Xenopus tropicalis: one gene and its partners. The protein of the gene in region 1 interacts with the protein of each later gene in a pairwise test. Links are inferred from orthologs where the notes say so. Each region holds a gene or a part of one and is shown in the gene's direction. Other genes may lie near its edges. The genes, in order: lmna, fam161a, tor1aip1 and tmpo.

What was found.
Region 2: the proteins of lmna (region 1) and fam161a interact in binary tests that used the Homo sapiens proteins (3 or more experiments, as listed by UniProt). The link is inferred for Xenopus tropicalis from reciprocal best matches to the Homo sapiens genes LMNA and FAM161A.
Region 3: the proteins of lmna (region 1) and tor1aip1 interact in a two-hybrid assay, tested with the Homo sapiens proteins (2 studies listed by BioGRID). The link is inferred for Xenopus tropicalis from reciprocal best matches to the Homo sapiens genes LMNA and TOR1AIP1.
Region 4: the proteins of lmna (region 1) and tmpo interact in a two-hybrid assay, tested with the Homo sapiens proteins (2 studies listed by BioGRID, with this or other methods). The link is inferred for Xenopus tropicalis from reciprocal best matches to the Homo sapiens genes LMNA and TMPO.

Annotation. Positions count from the first base shown.
Region 1 is NC_030684.2:142,967,481-142,971,508, reverse strand, and holds the start of lmna (lamin), read left to right. Parts: upstream 1-1,174; 5' UTR 1,175-1,221; coding exon 1,222-1,565; intron 1,566-4,028.
Region 2 is NC_030681.2:33,455,166-33,459,459, forward strand, and holds the start of fam161a (protein FAM161A), read left to right. Parts: upstream 1-1,489; 5' UTR 1,490-1,520; coding exon 1,521-1,685; intron 1,686-4,294. UniProt on the Homo sapiens protein: Involved in ciliogenesis.
Region 3 is NC_030680.2:101,249,707-101,253,791, reverse strand, and holds the start of tor1aip1 (torsin-1A-interacting protein 1), read left to right. Parts: upstream 1-1,241; 5' UTR 1,242-1,506; coding exon 1,507-1,540; exon of another isoform or gene 1,541-1,544; intron 1,545-1,591; exon of another isoform or gene 1,592-1,701; intron 1,702-2,515; coding exon 2,516-2,560; intron 2,561-3,185; coding exon of another isoform or gene 3,186-3,188; coding exon 3,189-3,230; intron 3,231-4,085. UniProt on the Homo sapiens protein: Required for nuclear membrane integrity. Induces TOR1A and TOR1B ATPase activity and is required for their location on the nuclear membrane. Binds to A- and B-type lamins. Possible role in membrane attachment and assembly of the nuclear lamina.
Region 4 is NC_030679.2:51,516,394-51,519,956, forward strand, and holds part of tmpo (thymopoietin), read left to right. Parts: intron 1-575; coding exon of another isoform or gene 576-683; intron 684-968; coding exon 969-1,088; intron 1,089-1,185; coding exon 1,186-1,281; intron 1,282-1,458; coding exon 1,459-1,605; intron 1,606-1,818; coding exon of another isoform or gene 1,819-1,938; intron 1,939-2,028; coding exon of another isoform or gene 2,029-2,121; intron 2,122-2,273; coding exon 2,274-2,365; intron 2,366-3,123; coding exon 3,124-3,433; 3' UTR 3,434-3,563. UniProt on the Homo sapiens protein: May help direct the assembly of the nuclear lamina and thereby help maintain the structural organization of the nuclear envelope. Possible receptor for attachment of lamin filaments to the inner nuclear membrane.

The DNA of each region.
Region 1 (4,028 bases):
TCGCTCCAATGTGCTGTGTTCTGGGGTAAGCGAACCCGCTGAGGGTTCTGGGAGTTGCAGTTCAAGGCTTTCAATCGCTCCAATGTGCTGTGTTCAGGGGTAAGCGAACCCGCTGAGGGTTCTGGGAGTTGCAGTTCAAGGCTTTCAATCGCTCCAATGTGCTGTGTTCAGGGGTAAGCGAACCCGCTGAGGGTTCCTGGGAGTTGCAGTTCAAGGCTTTCAATCGCTCCAATGTGCTGTGTTCAGGGGTAAGCGAACCCGCTGAGGGTTCTGGGAGTTGCAGTTCAAGGCTTTCAATCGCTCCAATGTGCTGTGTTCTGGGGTAAGCGAACCCGCTGAGGGTTCTGGGAGTTGCGGTTCAAGGCTTTTAATTGTTCCAATCTGCTGTGTTTAGGGGTAAGCGAACCCGCTGAGGCTGATGGGATGTGTAGTTCTGTAATGGCTGGAAGTGGCTTGGGTCAGTGCTGGAGGGTTGCAGGGAGTTATATTGGTGACTGATATTGGCGAACCCGCTGAGGGTTCTGGGAGTTGCAGTTTAAGGCTTTCCATTGCTCCAATCTGCTGTGTTCTGGGGTAAGCAAACCCGCTGAGGGTTCTGGGAGTTGCAGTTCAAGGCTTTCAATCGCTCCAATGTGCTGGGTTCTGGGGTAAGCGAACCCGCTGAGGGTTCTGGGAGTTGCGGTTCAAGGCTTTCAATTGTTCCAATCTGCTGTGTTTAGGGGTAAGCGAACCCGCTGAGGCTGATGGGATGTGTAGTTCTGTAATGGCTGGAAGTGGCTTGGGTCAGTGCTGGAGGGTTGCAGGGAGTTATATTGGTGACTGATATTGGCGAACCAGCTGAGGGTTCTGGGAGTTGCAGTTCAAGGCTTTTAGTCGCTCCAATGTGCTGTGTTCAGGGGTAAGCGAACCCGCTGGGGCTGATGGGATGTGTAGTTCTGTAATGGCTTGGGTCAGAGCCGGAGGGTTGCAGGGAGTTATATTGACTGACAGCTCTGCTGTGTCCCCAGATGCCTCACGTCAAGCAGCCGGTTGGGGGGGGGGGGGGACAGGGCCATGATTTGAGTTTTCCTTTCCCTTTAGGCTCCTCCCCTGGCCCCGCCCAGGGGCTGGCAGTTGCGAGTGGATGTAACTGGGAGCCACTGGGCACAGCAGACTGTCAGAGGCGGAGAAGGAAAGCAGATCCCTGCGCACTGACAGCCCCCCGTGTATTCGCCAAGAGCCATGGAGACCCCCGGGCAGAAGCGGGCGACCCGCAGCACCCACACCCCACTCTCCCCCACCCGCATCACCCGCCTGCAGGAGAAGGAAGACCTGCAGGAACTCAACGACCGATTGGCCGTCTACATCGACAAGGTGCGCTCCTTGGAGTCGGAGAACGCCGGGCTGCGCCTGCGCATCACTGAGTCCGAAGAGGTGGTCAGTCGCGAGGTGTCGGGCATCAAGGGGGCCTACGAGGCGGAACTGGCGGACGCCCGCAAAACTCTCGACTCGGTGGCCAAGGAGAGGGCTCGCCTGCAGCTGGAGCTCAGCAAGATCCGCGAGGAGCACAAGGAGCTGAAAGCGAGGTAGGACCCGGGGGTGCCAGGACTGTGTGCCAGCGGGATGGGGTGGGGGTCGGTTACACTGGGCTCCTTGGCACCGGGATGGAAATGTGAGCCCAGCCCATAGGAGTCATAGGATGTGTAGGAATGCCCACGCCTGGGGCAAACCTGACTCATGCCAGGGCTACTGGGAGAGGATTGGTGTTATCAGACCTGCCTGTAGGGGGCGCCGCTTGTCTTCAGCAGCAGCGACTCCATTGCATCCCACAGGGTGTCTATTCCTTATTAGTCCCACCGGCCCTGCAGGGAGGCAGTTCCCTGTATCTACTCCCCTTACTTTATTAGTCCCACCACCCCTGCTGGGAGGTAGTTCCCTGTATCTATGCCCCTTACTGTATTAGTCCCACCACCCCTGCTGGGAGGCAGTTCCCTGTATCTACCCCCCTTACTGTATTAGTCCCACCACCCCTGCTGGGAGGCAGTTCCCTGTATCTACCCCCCTTACTGTATTAGTCCCACCGGCCCTGCTGGGAGGCAGTTCCCTGTATCTATGCCCCTTACTGTATCAGTCCCACCGGCCCTGCTGGGAGGCAGTTCCCTGTATCTATGCCCCTTTCTGTAAAGTAGCACTTCCCTATGTTCCCTTTCAGCCTCCCCCCCTATTCCTTTACTGTATCAGTCCCACCGGCCCTGCTGGGAGGCTGTTCCCTGTATCTATGCCCCTTACTGTATCAGTCCCACCGGCCCTACTGGGAGGCAGTTTCCTGTATCTATGCCCCTTACTGTATCAGTCCCACCGGCCCTGCTGGGAGGCAGTTCCCTGTATCTATGCCCCTTACTGTATTAGTCCCACCGCCACTGCTGGGAGGCTGTTCCCTGTATCTACTCCCCTTTCTGTAAAGTAGCACTTCCTTATGTTCCCCCCCAGTCCTTTACTGTCCCACCGGCCCTGCTGGGAGGCAGTTCCCTGTATCTACCCCAGTGGGTGTTTTTACATTGATGTATGAGCAGCGCGCGCCACGTGCCGAGTATCTCACACCAGTGAGCTCATTCCAATATAAATACTCCCCGTGCCGCGTGGTGTTGTCCCTACTGTGCTGGGAGTCTGTGCCGGGGAGTCACCGGCTAAAATAGGAAACAAAGTTATTTGTGCGGTGCCCACCCACCATTGGGAGACCCTGTGCCCCCACAACTCAGAGGGTAAGGGTGGCAGCTGTGCGTTTAGGGCTCTCTTTGGATTGGTTCATTGGTACCCGGGGCAGTTGCAGGTTCTATAAATGCCCCTTACCCTGACTCTGCCCCAAGTGGTGCCCCGGCATTGGTGCCACCGTATCTGTATATTCCATATGGGCATTGGTGCCACCGTATCTGTATATTCCATATGGGCATTGGTGCCACCGTATCTGTATATTCCATATGGGCATTGGTGCCACCGTATCTATATATTCCATATGGGCATTGGTGCCACCTTATCTATATATTCCATATGGGCATTGGTGCCACCGTATCTATATATTCCATATGGGCATTGGTGCCACCGTATCTATATATTCCATATGGGCATTGGTGCCACCGTATCTATATATTCCATATGGGCATTGGTGCCACCGTATCTATATATTCCATATGGGCATTGGTGCCACCGTATCTATACCATATGGGCATTGGTGCCACCGTATCTGTATATTCCATATGGGCATTGGTGCCACTAGAGTAGGGTGTGCCACTTTGTGCCCAGCCTGTTTATCCCTTCCTGCCATGCCTATCCATGCCACCCTGCCCATAGGGGCATACCCACAATGCCACGGGAAACCCCTGTGCCCCATTAAGTGCCACACAAAACAATATTTGGCAGCCATTTTTTTTTATTTTTGTTGGCGCAAGTTGCCAGCTCTTTGCTGCTGAGGATGCTGGGAGTTGCAGTCACACAGTCACAGACTGGCATTCCCTTATATGGGCTTGTGTTTTACTCACATCCCTGGAAAAACAAGACTTTGCTCTCCCCGAGCCAAGTGGCGGGAGGCTTTGCCAGCGTTGCGGGCGGCAGCGGCTGATTTTCCAGCAGAAACATGGATTTCCTTGTACAGTCGCTTCCCAGGATCTGCCTTAAATTAATTACCCCCCCCCCCAGCAATTAGCAGACAAGTTGCGTGGGGCCCAGGGCATGCTGGGAAAGGAAGCGCCTGATTATGTGATTATGTGACGCAGGGCTGGCTCACTTGCAGTCCTGCCCAATAGGCCACAATAGCACGGCGCCCCCCGGGGGATGAATGGAGAGACTGTTGCACCCAGTATCTCCCAGGGCCCTCGCTGGACTCAACTGGGGGGGAATGGGTCCCAGTGGATTCTGGGAGTTGTAGTTAATTAGCATGCATTAAAACGATAATAGTAATATTCTAGACTATATTCAGGGTTACCCCCCCCCCACTCCCTGGGGCATTAGTCTGTCTTTCACCCCCCCCCCCAGTTACACACATCTGCCCCACT
Region 2 (4,294 bases), on another chromosome or scaffold:
CTTAATTTGCAGAAGCATCTACAGATTCTTCTCTGCTCATTTCCATTGCCCCTCTAACAATAGAACTAAGCAGAAAAAAAGAATGTAAATTGCAAAAGTGCTCGGAAGGATATTCTGAATGATTTTACATTAAAGGAGACATATTGGATAAAGGGGAAAAACGCTAATTTTGTAGGCAATTATGAATAATATATGGTGCTGATTTCACTTTGTGCTAAAAATTAATCCTCTCTGTAACAATGGCCTCTTTATTGGAGCTCCCTATAGAAATGAAGAGTGGGCGTGTCCCAACAGTCCCTGCCAGAAGCACAGTAGGAGGAGGAGAGCCAATCACAGCCCTGCACTCACACAAGCACAGACAGGCTTCAGTTCCCTATCAGGTCAGCCTAGCTGCTGATTGGTTCCTATCCTACAGTGCAGTTTATGGAGGGCCGCTGGCACCCCCTGCACATCCAAAGAATTCAGCCAGCAGGAAGTGGAACAGATGGGCGGGGCTAGTGGGGTTTGGGGGAATTTCTCAATAAATCAGTCTGAAATACAACTTTTTAAAGCACATTCCTTCTATGTCTAGAGGAGTATAATTCACTGGTACATTCATTATTTTTATAAGATATGTCTCCTTTAAGGTATGTGTAACCTTAATTTGTTTGTGTAAAATAACATAAATATACATGAAAGGTACACACATGCCATAGGAGTATAGTCAAGTGCTATTTATAATGCTCCTAAATTATGATCAAGCACCCAAAAAGTAATTTACAGAAAATAAAGGATGCTATTCAGTAAGATTACAGTTCCCACAATGCTTTGAAATGTATTACAACTTTAATAGTTTAACCTTAATGCCAGGAAGGTCTAGCGTAAAAAAAGAAGAGATCACCCTAAATTCAACAATGAGCCTTTGTAAGTAAGTAGGCACCTCCTATGGTCACCCTTATGAGCCTTACCCACCCCTTCTCTGGCTCTTGGGCACACAAATTAAAAACCACGGGCATATGAAAAGCTATCTGAAGGCAAATAAACTAATAACTGCACTTTGTGCATTATTCCGCCCCTACCGGGATTATTATCCGCTCTCTTCCAAATCCGTGCGGAGGGGGCTGTAGTGCTCTCGCCTCAGCCAATCAGAGCGCAGGGTGGGCACTATCGCTAGAGCGCCCTATAGGAAAGCGGAGCTAGAGTATTGTGTTGGCAGCCGGCGCTTTAGATGTCGCCAAATGTATATGTGTGGGCTGAAGTTTGGAGCTGGTTATGCTCTGCCTTTGGGAGTACCCTAAGCACTCGCATTTCCACCATCATTAGTCTCATTCTGCGGCAGATAAACTAAAGCTGGATGCAAAACTCTGGAAGCCTGCGCCAGTTGCTGCTCTGAAAACAGCGCGCTCTAGGTTATTGTCTCCTTTCTCTCATGCCATGTGGCGTGGCTTCAGTTTGTGATCGCTTTAGAGGTTGGTCTCTCGCAGACTCCGTAGCGTCGGCGGTTGCCAGGCAGCGGCCAAAGCTGAAGGTTCCGTGCCAATATGGCGCAGGCTCACAAGGAATCAGTGCTCGCTGCCGCCTGTGTGAGGACCCCTGTGAACCCCTACACCAAAGCACCGCTTGCCCTGTACGAACGGGAGTTGGGGGAAAGGCAACAACAACGAACTGCCTCTGTCTCACCCCAGAGACTTCCAAGAACATCAATGGTATGGATACTATTCTTACAGCTGGAATATTAAAGCTCATAGAAACCTAAAGATAGCAAACTTCTTAACAATTTATCTCTGAGCTAAACTTATATATACAAATATATTTATTACAAATGTCCCATTGTGTTAAAGTTATTTGTAAGTAGAACTTCTTTTGATAGCTTCATCTGTCAAACTGCTGGTTGTAACTAGTGAAACAATGTAGCAGAGGGCAGCTGATTCACAGACAGGGCTAGGAACAGGCAAGTGGCTGCTGCTACAGTGCTTCATTAGACAGATCTAAATGGCAATTACATTTACAGTTCACTTTAAAATATGAATATACATAAAAAGTTACCTATAGGTCATGTTGATGGTGTCTCGCTGACAGGTTTGCTTTTGTAAGTAATTGTTACTTGAAGTTCCTACACCTGACTGTTTTGCCAACCTGACTGTCCCTTCCCAGCCTGTCAGTTACAGCTTCTAATGCTAACAGACAAATATGGCTGCCCCCACTTAGAGGAACCGAGGATCAGACAGGTAATGTAAACGCATCAGGCAAATATTTTTATGGCAAAATTCTAAAGTTCTTGCAAAGACAATGTTATTATAGATGTAAAAAAAAAGATTTACTTTCTGGTGTCAGTATCTCTTTAAGACCATTGAAAAATGTTTATGAATTTCTGTTGGAAAGTTTCGTAGATTTACGTTTTTTATTAGGCAAACATGGTATTTTGGGGTTTACAGCCTGGTTTGTTCTGCTGTAACTTATAGACAGTAGGCATATGAGTTGGGCACAGGCGGCAAACATTAGAACTCTGTTTGGAACAGAACCTTTGGGTTCCCAAGTGTTGCTGGCCCCACAACTCCTTTGTTATATGTTGAAGAATGGTAGGTAAGCCCAGAACTAGGGGTAGGCAGAAGGGGCATGTGCCTAAGGTGCAATTATAGGGCAGGGCTTTGGAGTTGGTACATATATCCAGTGACTCCTCAGTTTATGGTACTTCAGACTCCAGGTACCCAAATTTGCTTCTGACTCTACAAATCTGACTCCACAGCCCTGGCCAGTCTATGGAGTCTTTACATAAATCCTTCAGCTACTCAGTAGTTGCTTCTGACTCCGACTCCACTTGGGGGGTGCTACTCATTGGGATAATGTTTACAAAAAAGTAACAGAGGCTGCTGACCCTGCTGATGGGAGATGTAGTTAAACAATCGCTGGAGGGCCGCAGGTTTGACATCGCTGTATTACTTAGTTAGCCTGGGCATGGAAGGGCAGCATGCTCTGGGAATTATCTCTAGCCTGTCATCTGGTGTTTATTTTATAAGCCTATTCGGCACCGGTTAATTAACAGATGGGATCATGTGATGCCAGTGCTAATTATACAGAGTGCTATTTGGCACATCAGTTACATTTACATGCTAATAATGGTGAAAAGCTGAACAGTATAAGCTACAATGTAGGGGATCCCGTTTAAAAGAGGATTAGATTGGTAGTTATTTTTAGTGACTATAGAGCATTAGCTGGGAAGCAATTTACTGAATTAAGCAGAGCACTGGCAAACCCGTGATGGTGTTGTCTCAATGTCTATAAAATCTGCAGGGCTGAAAAGAGATCTCATAGTCATTATATCTGGAGAAGGAAAGCGTACAGGGAGTGGGGGAGAGTATGGACCTGTCCCAAAACTTACATTCATGTCACACTTAACACAAGTAAAACATTGACAACTAGTTACGGATGCACCAAATCCAGGATTCGGTTTAGGATTTGGCCAAGATTCAGCCTTTTTCAGCAGGATTCATATTCAGCTGAATCCACGCTCCTGGCCAAACCAAATCTGAATCCTTAAAAACACTTTTTGTCACATAAATACGGAAGTTGAACATTTTTTGCTGCACTCGTTAACCCTTCCGTGTCCTAATTTACATATGCAAATTTGGATTTGGTTCGGTATTTGGACAAATCTTTTACGAAGGGTTCGGGGTTTGGATGAATCCGAAAATAGTGGATCCCTGCAACTAGTATTTTTGTACAATAAAAGAAAATGTAATTTTAAGCAAATATGTTAATGAAAGGTTTTCAGTGGTTTTAAAATTACTTACTATATTTGTGCATTTGACGCACGTTCAGAATGTAATAGAATGAAGAAATGACTGTTGAACTTACAAGAACACACTTACTTGCATCTAAATCAATGCACGTGAATGCAATAAATGGGAAAATAGAAGCAAAAGATGGCAGCTCTGTGCTTTAATAAAAACATTTTTCAAAGATGAGTAGCACCCACAGGAGTCCGTGAGGCTGGTAACAAATTGGCATCTCCACGGTGAATTTGTCTGTGTTGTCCTTTAATCCCTGCCCATTCATTTATTATATTTCTGTTATATGTAGATATAAGCTTATGATGCTCTGTTAAATTTTCCTATATTATAAATTTTTTTTCTTTATACAGTTTATATATATATATAAATATATATCTCAAATTAACCAGTGATGTGCAAGGAAATGACTAATAAACAGAGATAATGGGAGACTGAAACAAGAGATGCAACAGGCCCTGCCCACAAGAGATTACAGGCTATATCTGTTAGCAGTGTAAGCTTATTATGGTGTATGCTGTGTTAGC
Region 3 (4,085 bases), on another chromosome or scaffold:
GACTTGCTCTGGCTCCCCTGTAGCTTCCTTCAGCCCCCCCCCCCCAGCGAATTCCTCTGGCTCCCCTGTGGCTTCCTCCAGCCCCCCAGCAACTTCCTCCAGCCCCCCCCCCCCAGAGACTTCCTCTGGCTCCACTGCGGCTTCCTCCAACACCCCACCCCCAGTGACTTCCTCTGGTTCCCTGGGGCTTCCTCCAGCCCCACCCCCAGCGACTTCCTCTAGCTCCCCTGTGGCTTCCTCCAACACCCCAGCCCCCCCAGAGACTTCCTCTGGCTCCCCTGCGGCTTCCTCCAACACCCCAGCCCCCCCAGAGACTTCCTCTGGCTCCCCTGTGGCTTCCTCCAACACCCCAGCCCCCCCAGCGACTTCCTCTGGCTCCACTGCGGCTTCCTCCAACACCCCACCCCCAGTGACTTCCTCTGGTTCCCTGGGGCTTCCTCCAGCCCCACCCCCAGCGACTTCCTCTAGCTCCCCTGCGCTTTCCTCCAGCCCCTCCCCCAGCGACTTCCTCTGGCTCCCCTGTGGCTTCCTCCAGCCCCCCCAGCGACTTCCTCTGGCTCCCCTGCGGCTGCCTCCAACACCCCAGCGACTTCCTTTGGCTCCCCTTCAGCTTTCTCCAGCCCCCCCCCAGCAACTTGCTCTGGCTCCCCTGTAGCTTCCTTCAGCCCCCCCCCCCAGCGAATTCCTCTGGCTCCCCTGTGGCTTCCTCCAGCCCCCCCAGCAACTTCCTCCAGCCCCCCCCCCCAGAGACTTCCTCTGGCTCCACTGCGGCTTCCTCCAACACCCCACCCCCAGTGACTTCCTCTGGTTCCCTGGGGCTTCCTCCAGCCCCACCCCCAGCGACTTCCTCTAGCTCCCCTGTGGCTTCCTCCAACACCCCAGCCCCCCCAGAGACTTCCTCTGGCTCCCCTGCGGCTTCCTCCAACACCCCAGCCCCCCCAGAGACTTCCTCTGGCTCCCCTGCGGCTTCCTCCAACACCCCAGCCCCCCCAGCGACTTCCTCTGGCTCCACTTCGGCTTCCTCCAACACCCCACCCCCAGTGACTTCCTCTGGTTCCCTGGGGCTTCCTCCAGCCCCACCCCCAGCGACTTCCTCTAGCTCCCCTGTGGCTTCCTCCAACACCCCAGCCCCCCCAGAGACTTCCTCTGGCTCCCCTGCGGCTTCCTCCAACACCCCAGCCCCCCCAGAGACTTCCTCTGGCTCCCCTGCGGCTTCCTCCAACACCCCAGCCCCCTCAGAAACTTCCTCTGACTCCCCTGCGGCTTCCTCCAGCTACACCCACGTAACGGAGACATCATTACGTCTTCACGTTTTATGACGTCACTTGCGGCCGTTCGCAACTAGGAACTAGCAGCTACCCTCTTCCTGCATCGGCTTCGCTAAACGTTGTGGTGCGTCAGTCATAGTTTACCGTCGGAAACGTGGGTTAAGTTGGAGTGGTTCCGCATCAAGTAAAGTGATTTTATCGTGGTCAACGGTGTCATAGCTAAGGACAGTCGTCAACAATGAGCGTTCACGGAGGTAAAACAACCAACACCGGTAGGTAAGCCAAGCCCCAGACAGGAGAAGATACACTCCCTAAACGCGTTCATAAATTGTATTAGTTGGGTCACGGCAGAGGCCCAGAAGGAGTTCGCTTTATAGAATCGAAAGCGAAAGAAGTTGTCAGCCCGCGCTTTCAATCCATTTTAAATGCTTTTGTATGAAGCGATTATGAATGTATTATATCTGCTTTTTACGATCTGATCTTTCTAAGACTGTGTATATGAGAATTAGTAGATACCGAGGATCATATACACAGTCTTAATAATTTATTAATTCGCTATTTGTCCTATTTATCACTGTAGGGGGGGGGGGGCAGGTTCAGCTGTAAACGTTATAGTCTTTGCTGGGGCCCTGTCAAATCAATATTTATTTCTATATAGTTTGCTTTTATCTGGGGGTATGTCAGAGGTGGCTCCTGTTACACCTGCAAGTAGCCCCAGAAGCAAAAGTGAAATTCTGATGTTAGCCCTGAATCCTAGCACTTTTTGAAGGATTTCTATTTGACAGTATTTAGGACAAACCAATGCGGTTTTTACATTTTACTTAAATTTGTTTAAGCAAATTAGGGGTTGCATTCTCTTCTGCATACAGATTATTCTTTTGTGGAGGATTCAGTATTTAACCAACCCAAAAAATTGTGGATTTGGGGCAACAAGACGCACCAGCCTTTTTTAATGAATTCGTTTCATCACCAGAGTTGTGGGCTAATAAAAACAGAACCTATAGAGGAAGCAGGGGGCGCAGACTGCAGTGTCTGTTTCATCTATAGTTGTCAGAAATCCCCCAATCCCCAGCTGCTATCTTATCTACCCTGGGGAGCAAGGGTAGTGTGCTGAGCCCTTCCGAAGATTCTTTGCTGGGGGCCAAGCACAAATTTGTTACGCCACTGTCTCTTAATTTTAGATAAGATACAGAAATATATAAAACAGAAATGTTATTCTTCTATTACTGTTTATGTCTTTTCTCTAGATGCTTATGTCTCAAGAAATGATGAGGAAGAAGCACCTTTTTTAGGTAATGCAGATTTCAGGATCTAAATATGTCTGCCTCATCGCGGTGACGTGACACGAGAACGCAGCAAGGAGCGGGAGGACACAGTGGGGAGATGGGAGAGGGAGTGGGGGAGCCGGGAGAGGGAGAATGTTAGAGCAGGCCATAGTTTTAGGACGCAGATGGGAGCAGGCAGTGAGAGTGGGCCATAGTTTGAGGACTCAGCAGGGAGCTGGAGCAGGCTGTAGTTTGTGGGGTGGGTTATAGACTAGAGACTATATTCCAGCCCCCCAAAAGTCTGAGGGACCATGAACTGGCCCCTGTTTAAAAGTTTGAGGACCCCTGTTTTATAGCATTGAGAGTGCCATGTGTGTCTATTCCTGCCCTATGGTTAGATATCTTTAGGGATGTGTCATGCAGCATGACACCAGGTTCTTTTTGACTTAAAAGTGCATCACACTTCATCCCTACAATGATCACCACATTCTAAGTCCCTATATTGGGAACTGCCCCATATATTTTATTTTTTAGAATTCATGAATTCTGAGAAATGTTTTAGGAGAGTATTAGATAATTTTGGGTTAGATAAATCTCCCTGTAAGTGAAATGTTATAATTATGCTGGTTCTCCCTTTCTCTCCTATTTGCAGCAGACATGAAGTTGACAAGAAATTCAATCAGGTCTTCCAATCGAGGTAAAATATTTGGTCACAAAATTTTTTTTATTGCTTCTGGCTATACAAAATGAGGTAGAACTCTGCTTTTGATTTTATTTTTAAAGCTTATAGTAAGGTTCCTATCAATCCTTATATGAATCCCTAATGAACTGACTTTCAGAATGCTGGTCCCTGGTAAACTATGATATGGTAAACATTCCCCACCTGATGGCCTTAACCTTTAACATTCCCTGTTGGATTGGGTTTTCACTTGTCGACTTTGAGCAGCACAAATCTGATCTGCCTGCACTTAGCCACAGAATAATAGAAACTTTTTTGTAGCAGCTACTTTGGGCTGTGTTCTTTTTTACCTGCAGCGCTGAGCAATCTAATCTTCCTGCACTACTAATTGCTGTAGGCAGAGAAGCACAGATTGGTAGCTGCTGTGTCAAGCTTTTTATTACTTGCTAGATCAGGACAGGTAAATTGGATCAATCATTATAGTGTATTGTTGCTTAGCAAGGGTAAATGAAATGCAAGATGCGGGATGTGCTGGAGGAAATAAATGAGTAGACAGAGAAGAGAAAAAAAAAGTAGACAAGCATAACCTTGGATAATGAGGGGAAAAGAATTAGAAGTTAATAATGAGTAACAAGCTAAGGAAATCAAAATGGAGAAGTAATGGAAAGGAGAAAAGATAAACAGGTAGGAGAAATAATAAAAATATAGGAAAGCACAGCAGGAAAGGGGGAGGAAAGAAGAGAACAGATGCAGAGATAAAATATATGTAGAAGTAAAAAGAGTACAAAGAAAGGTAAAAGAATGGAAAAGTGGTTGCAAGCAGGGCTGGACCAGACAGGAGCCTCTCCTGCCTACCCCTAGTCCACTCGCCTT
Region 4 (3,563 bases), on another chromosome or scaffold:
GAGTGCTGACACCCAAACAAGCAAAGGCCAGTGAATTGGCTGATTCAATCCCGTGTGGCCCTACCATAAAAAGTTTAAAAACATTTTTTTTTATTTTTAGAAAGGTTTATGCTGTGTAATTCAAAATACATTTAAGATTAGTAAAATTCATTAGCAGCGGTCCTTTCACATCTTTGGATTTAATTAAATTTATTTGCCCAGATGTTGCCTCATGTCCTGATGCTTAGGATGGTGTGTTCCAGTACACCCTAAGCTTATCTATAATTAAAGTGAATTACCCTAAGAAATTGTACATTAGGTAAGATAATTGGTCCTCATTCATTCAATTACTGTTATAAGCAAAAGATTTATCGAGGGGCATGTCTTTTTGCGCACCCAGACAAGACAGTTTAGAGTTGAACACATTGAACCATTCTAACTATACAGTTTTTGATTTTATCTGTTATGTCTGCCATATTAAACATTCTCTGAATATTTTTAGTATCATATTACTTTTGAATGTTCGAATAGAATATGAAAATATTATTGATGCAGGTTTTCTTTATCATGTGCAGAATTGACTTTCTTATATTTAGGTGGAGGAAGACACTGATCTCATACCAGAATTAAATGTCAAACGAAGTAACAGATCTCCTCCTAAGGAGTTTACCCCTGATGCTGAAGAACTATCTACTTATCTCCCTGTAAAAAATATGATTTTCTAAACAGCTTGAGTCACTGGATAGCCATATTTAATCTCTAAATATTTATTGCACAGTTTCTTGTACTTTTATGGACCTTTCTATTGGTTCTAAAGCACTTTCACTGATTCGCTATTTCATAATAGAGGTCATTAAGCACTTCTGTGGGTTTAGGGGTTTTTATGTTTGTTTTTTGGTCTTTTTTTCACCTCTGCATGTGCCAGACAGTTGTGGCCACTGAAGTTTTGAGTACAGGGTTTATTTAATTCACATTTAATATTTAATTAGATCGTGTCTGAAGATATAGTTACCGAGGCAGCATGGACATCTGGACCTTCAAAAAGTGGACCTGTGCAGACTGTTTATAAGGAGTCAACAAAATTATCCCGGCGAACCCCAAGAAAAAGGGTGATGACCGTTATTATATTGAAGTCTCTAGCCTTGGAGATAGTGACCTGGCACTAGTTTATACTAATTCCAGTTTTTTTTTTTTCCCAATTAATAGGTGGTAGCTCCTGATCCAGTCCCTTTTGATGATGCAGATCTTGCAGAGGTCCCTTCTATATCTGAAACAGTAGTACCTGCAAGCAACCAAATATTAGTAAATATATATTTTACTTTTGTAGCTAACTGTGAGCATTGTTTTTAGCGATTAACAGGCGTTCTGCTAATGCTGTGTAATTTAATAATTTTGAAAACGTAGAATTTTCTGATGAGCTGGAGGAAACATACACTTCCATCTAAAGCTCTTAACATTTTTTTTCTTCTTTTTATGTAGACTTATGCTGAAAATAAGCACTTTGAATCTCGTAAGGTTGTTGATCACGTGCCTGAAAGTTTGAAGCATGCAGAGACATTGCTGTCAGTGAGCGAATTCTCAGAACTGAGCAGAAGAACCCCTAAGAAACAGCTGATCAGTGAAAAAGTAAATACTTATAAGTTTAGATTAGCTTTTCTTGTTCCATATAGCAATATAGCATAAGGTCGCTTATATTTATGAAACTGTGCTATAAAAAAGGCGCCTTTTTTCGGATTCCTCTTTATATTGTGGTTCAATTTATCAGGGGACTTAATTTTGCAAAATCTCATGTCATTCATTTTAAAGCATGCTGTTTTCTTTTAACATGTGTTTATACAGTTGCAGCATTTGAACGTAACACGTGAAACTGAATCCGCTTCTTCTCAAATCAGGTTGATTGATGTTGATAGTATTGGTTATGCAAACCCCAATGATCTTCTTAACACAGCTTTAATAGAGGTGATGGCTTAAATATGCCCCCCCTTATAGTTTTCCTTTGGTCTGGCAATGTATAGATAAGTGACCCTAAGGATTTTCTTCATATTGAAGGAAACGAAAAACATCGATGATGACTCTTTGGAAACTCCAAAAAAGACAAAGCAGTTGAAAATAACGAAGTTTGTAACACCTGTAAAAAAACAGGAAAGAGGGTTTTTGGTTTTTTGGGGTTTTTTTTTGTGCACGTGGTGAAACTTTTTATTTAGCCACTTTCTTATATGGTGATCTGTGGTTTTTCTTCATAAATTTTGTGCCATTTGCATTTTAACTAGATTTTTCTTTTATTCTCTTTTTAGCTTGTAGAAAAGACTTTTGAGGAGAGAAGAACTGAAAGAGATATTCTTAAGGAAATGTTTCCAAATGAAATTCACACTCCAACTGGAATCAGGTTGTTATAATAATGTTTACTAATACACTAATGCTAAAATTCATTTTTCATGGTTATTTGACAATGCAAATTGCTTTTCTAAAAAAAAGTATACTAGGATTCTAGAACATACCAATTCAGAAACTGTGCAGTGAAGCCGGTCTTTAAATGGATCTTAACTGGCTTTCCTGAGTCTCTATACATCCTGTACCCTTCTTAATTCAGTGCCAGATGGCACCAACAAATACCCTCATATACAAACTTGCTGCAAATCACAAAATGTAATCAACATTTATTAGACCTATGACATTTCCATAACAAGCTGACAAGCTGTTGTAAACGGTTGTTGTTGGACCTTTTTGCTGGCACTTGTCACTGGCAACATTACTTAGTGTCATGATGAGCAGCTTGCCACAACTCCTAGTTGCTCTGTTTGAGCTTATATCAAGACTTCAGAGCAAGTTTGTTGTACCACATGAGCATTTGCATCCTTTGTTATAGGTGAGCCATAACTCAAAATGCATTTGCATATCAATAACTTGCGCTGGAGGCCTTTTCCTGACAAACTGTCAAATTTGGTGACTCCTAGCTGGCAAACAACAATTTAGCCAAGTAGGATGAAGTTTTCGTATGTTTTCGAGATTTTGTTTTAATAAAAGTTGTTCTAGTCCTTTAAATTATTACACATAGTTTTTGTATACTGTCCTTTATCTTGACTGTCAACTGTTTCACACTATTTTTCTCACTGACGTTTTTTTTCTCCCATTTTTCTTGTTTAGTGCCAGCTGTCGCAGGCCAATTAAAGGAGCCGCAGGGCGACCATTAAATTCCACAGAATACAAAATAGATGAAACCTATACATCAAAATATGTTTCAAATGTTTCAAAGTACACACCAGCAGTGGAGGTGAAGGCAGAAAAAGTGAAACCTGGACGGTCAATACCTGTATGGATAAAGATTTTGATGTTTGTCCTCTTGGCTGTGTTTTGCTTTTTAGTCTATCAAGCTATGGAAACAAATGAAGGAATAGCATTTTCTAAATTCCTTCTTGGCATCACAGAATCAAACAAGACTGAAACTGATTTTTAAGTTTATTTTTGAGGGGGGGGATTGAATTACAGTTTATATTTTTAACAACTCAAGGAATAAGAAAACCTGCCATTTGTCCCATACTGTCTGAAAATATCACCGCACTTCAAACTTTTGTACATTAATAAAG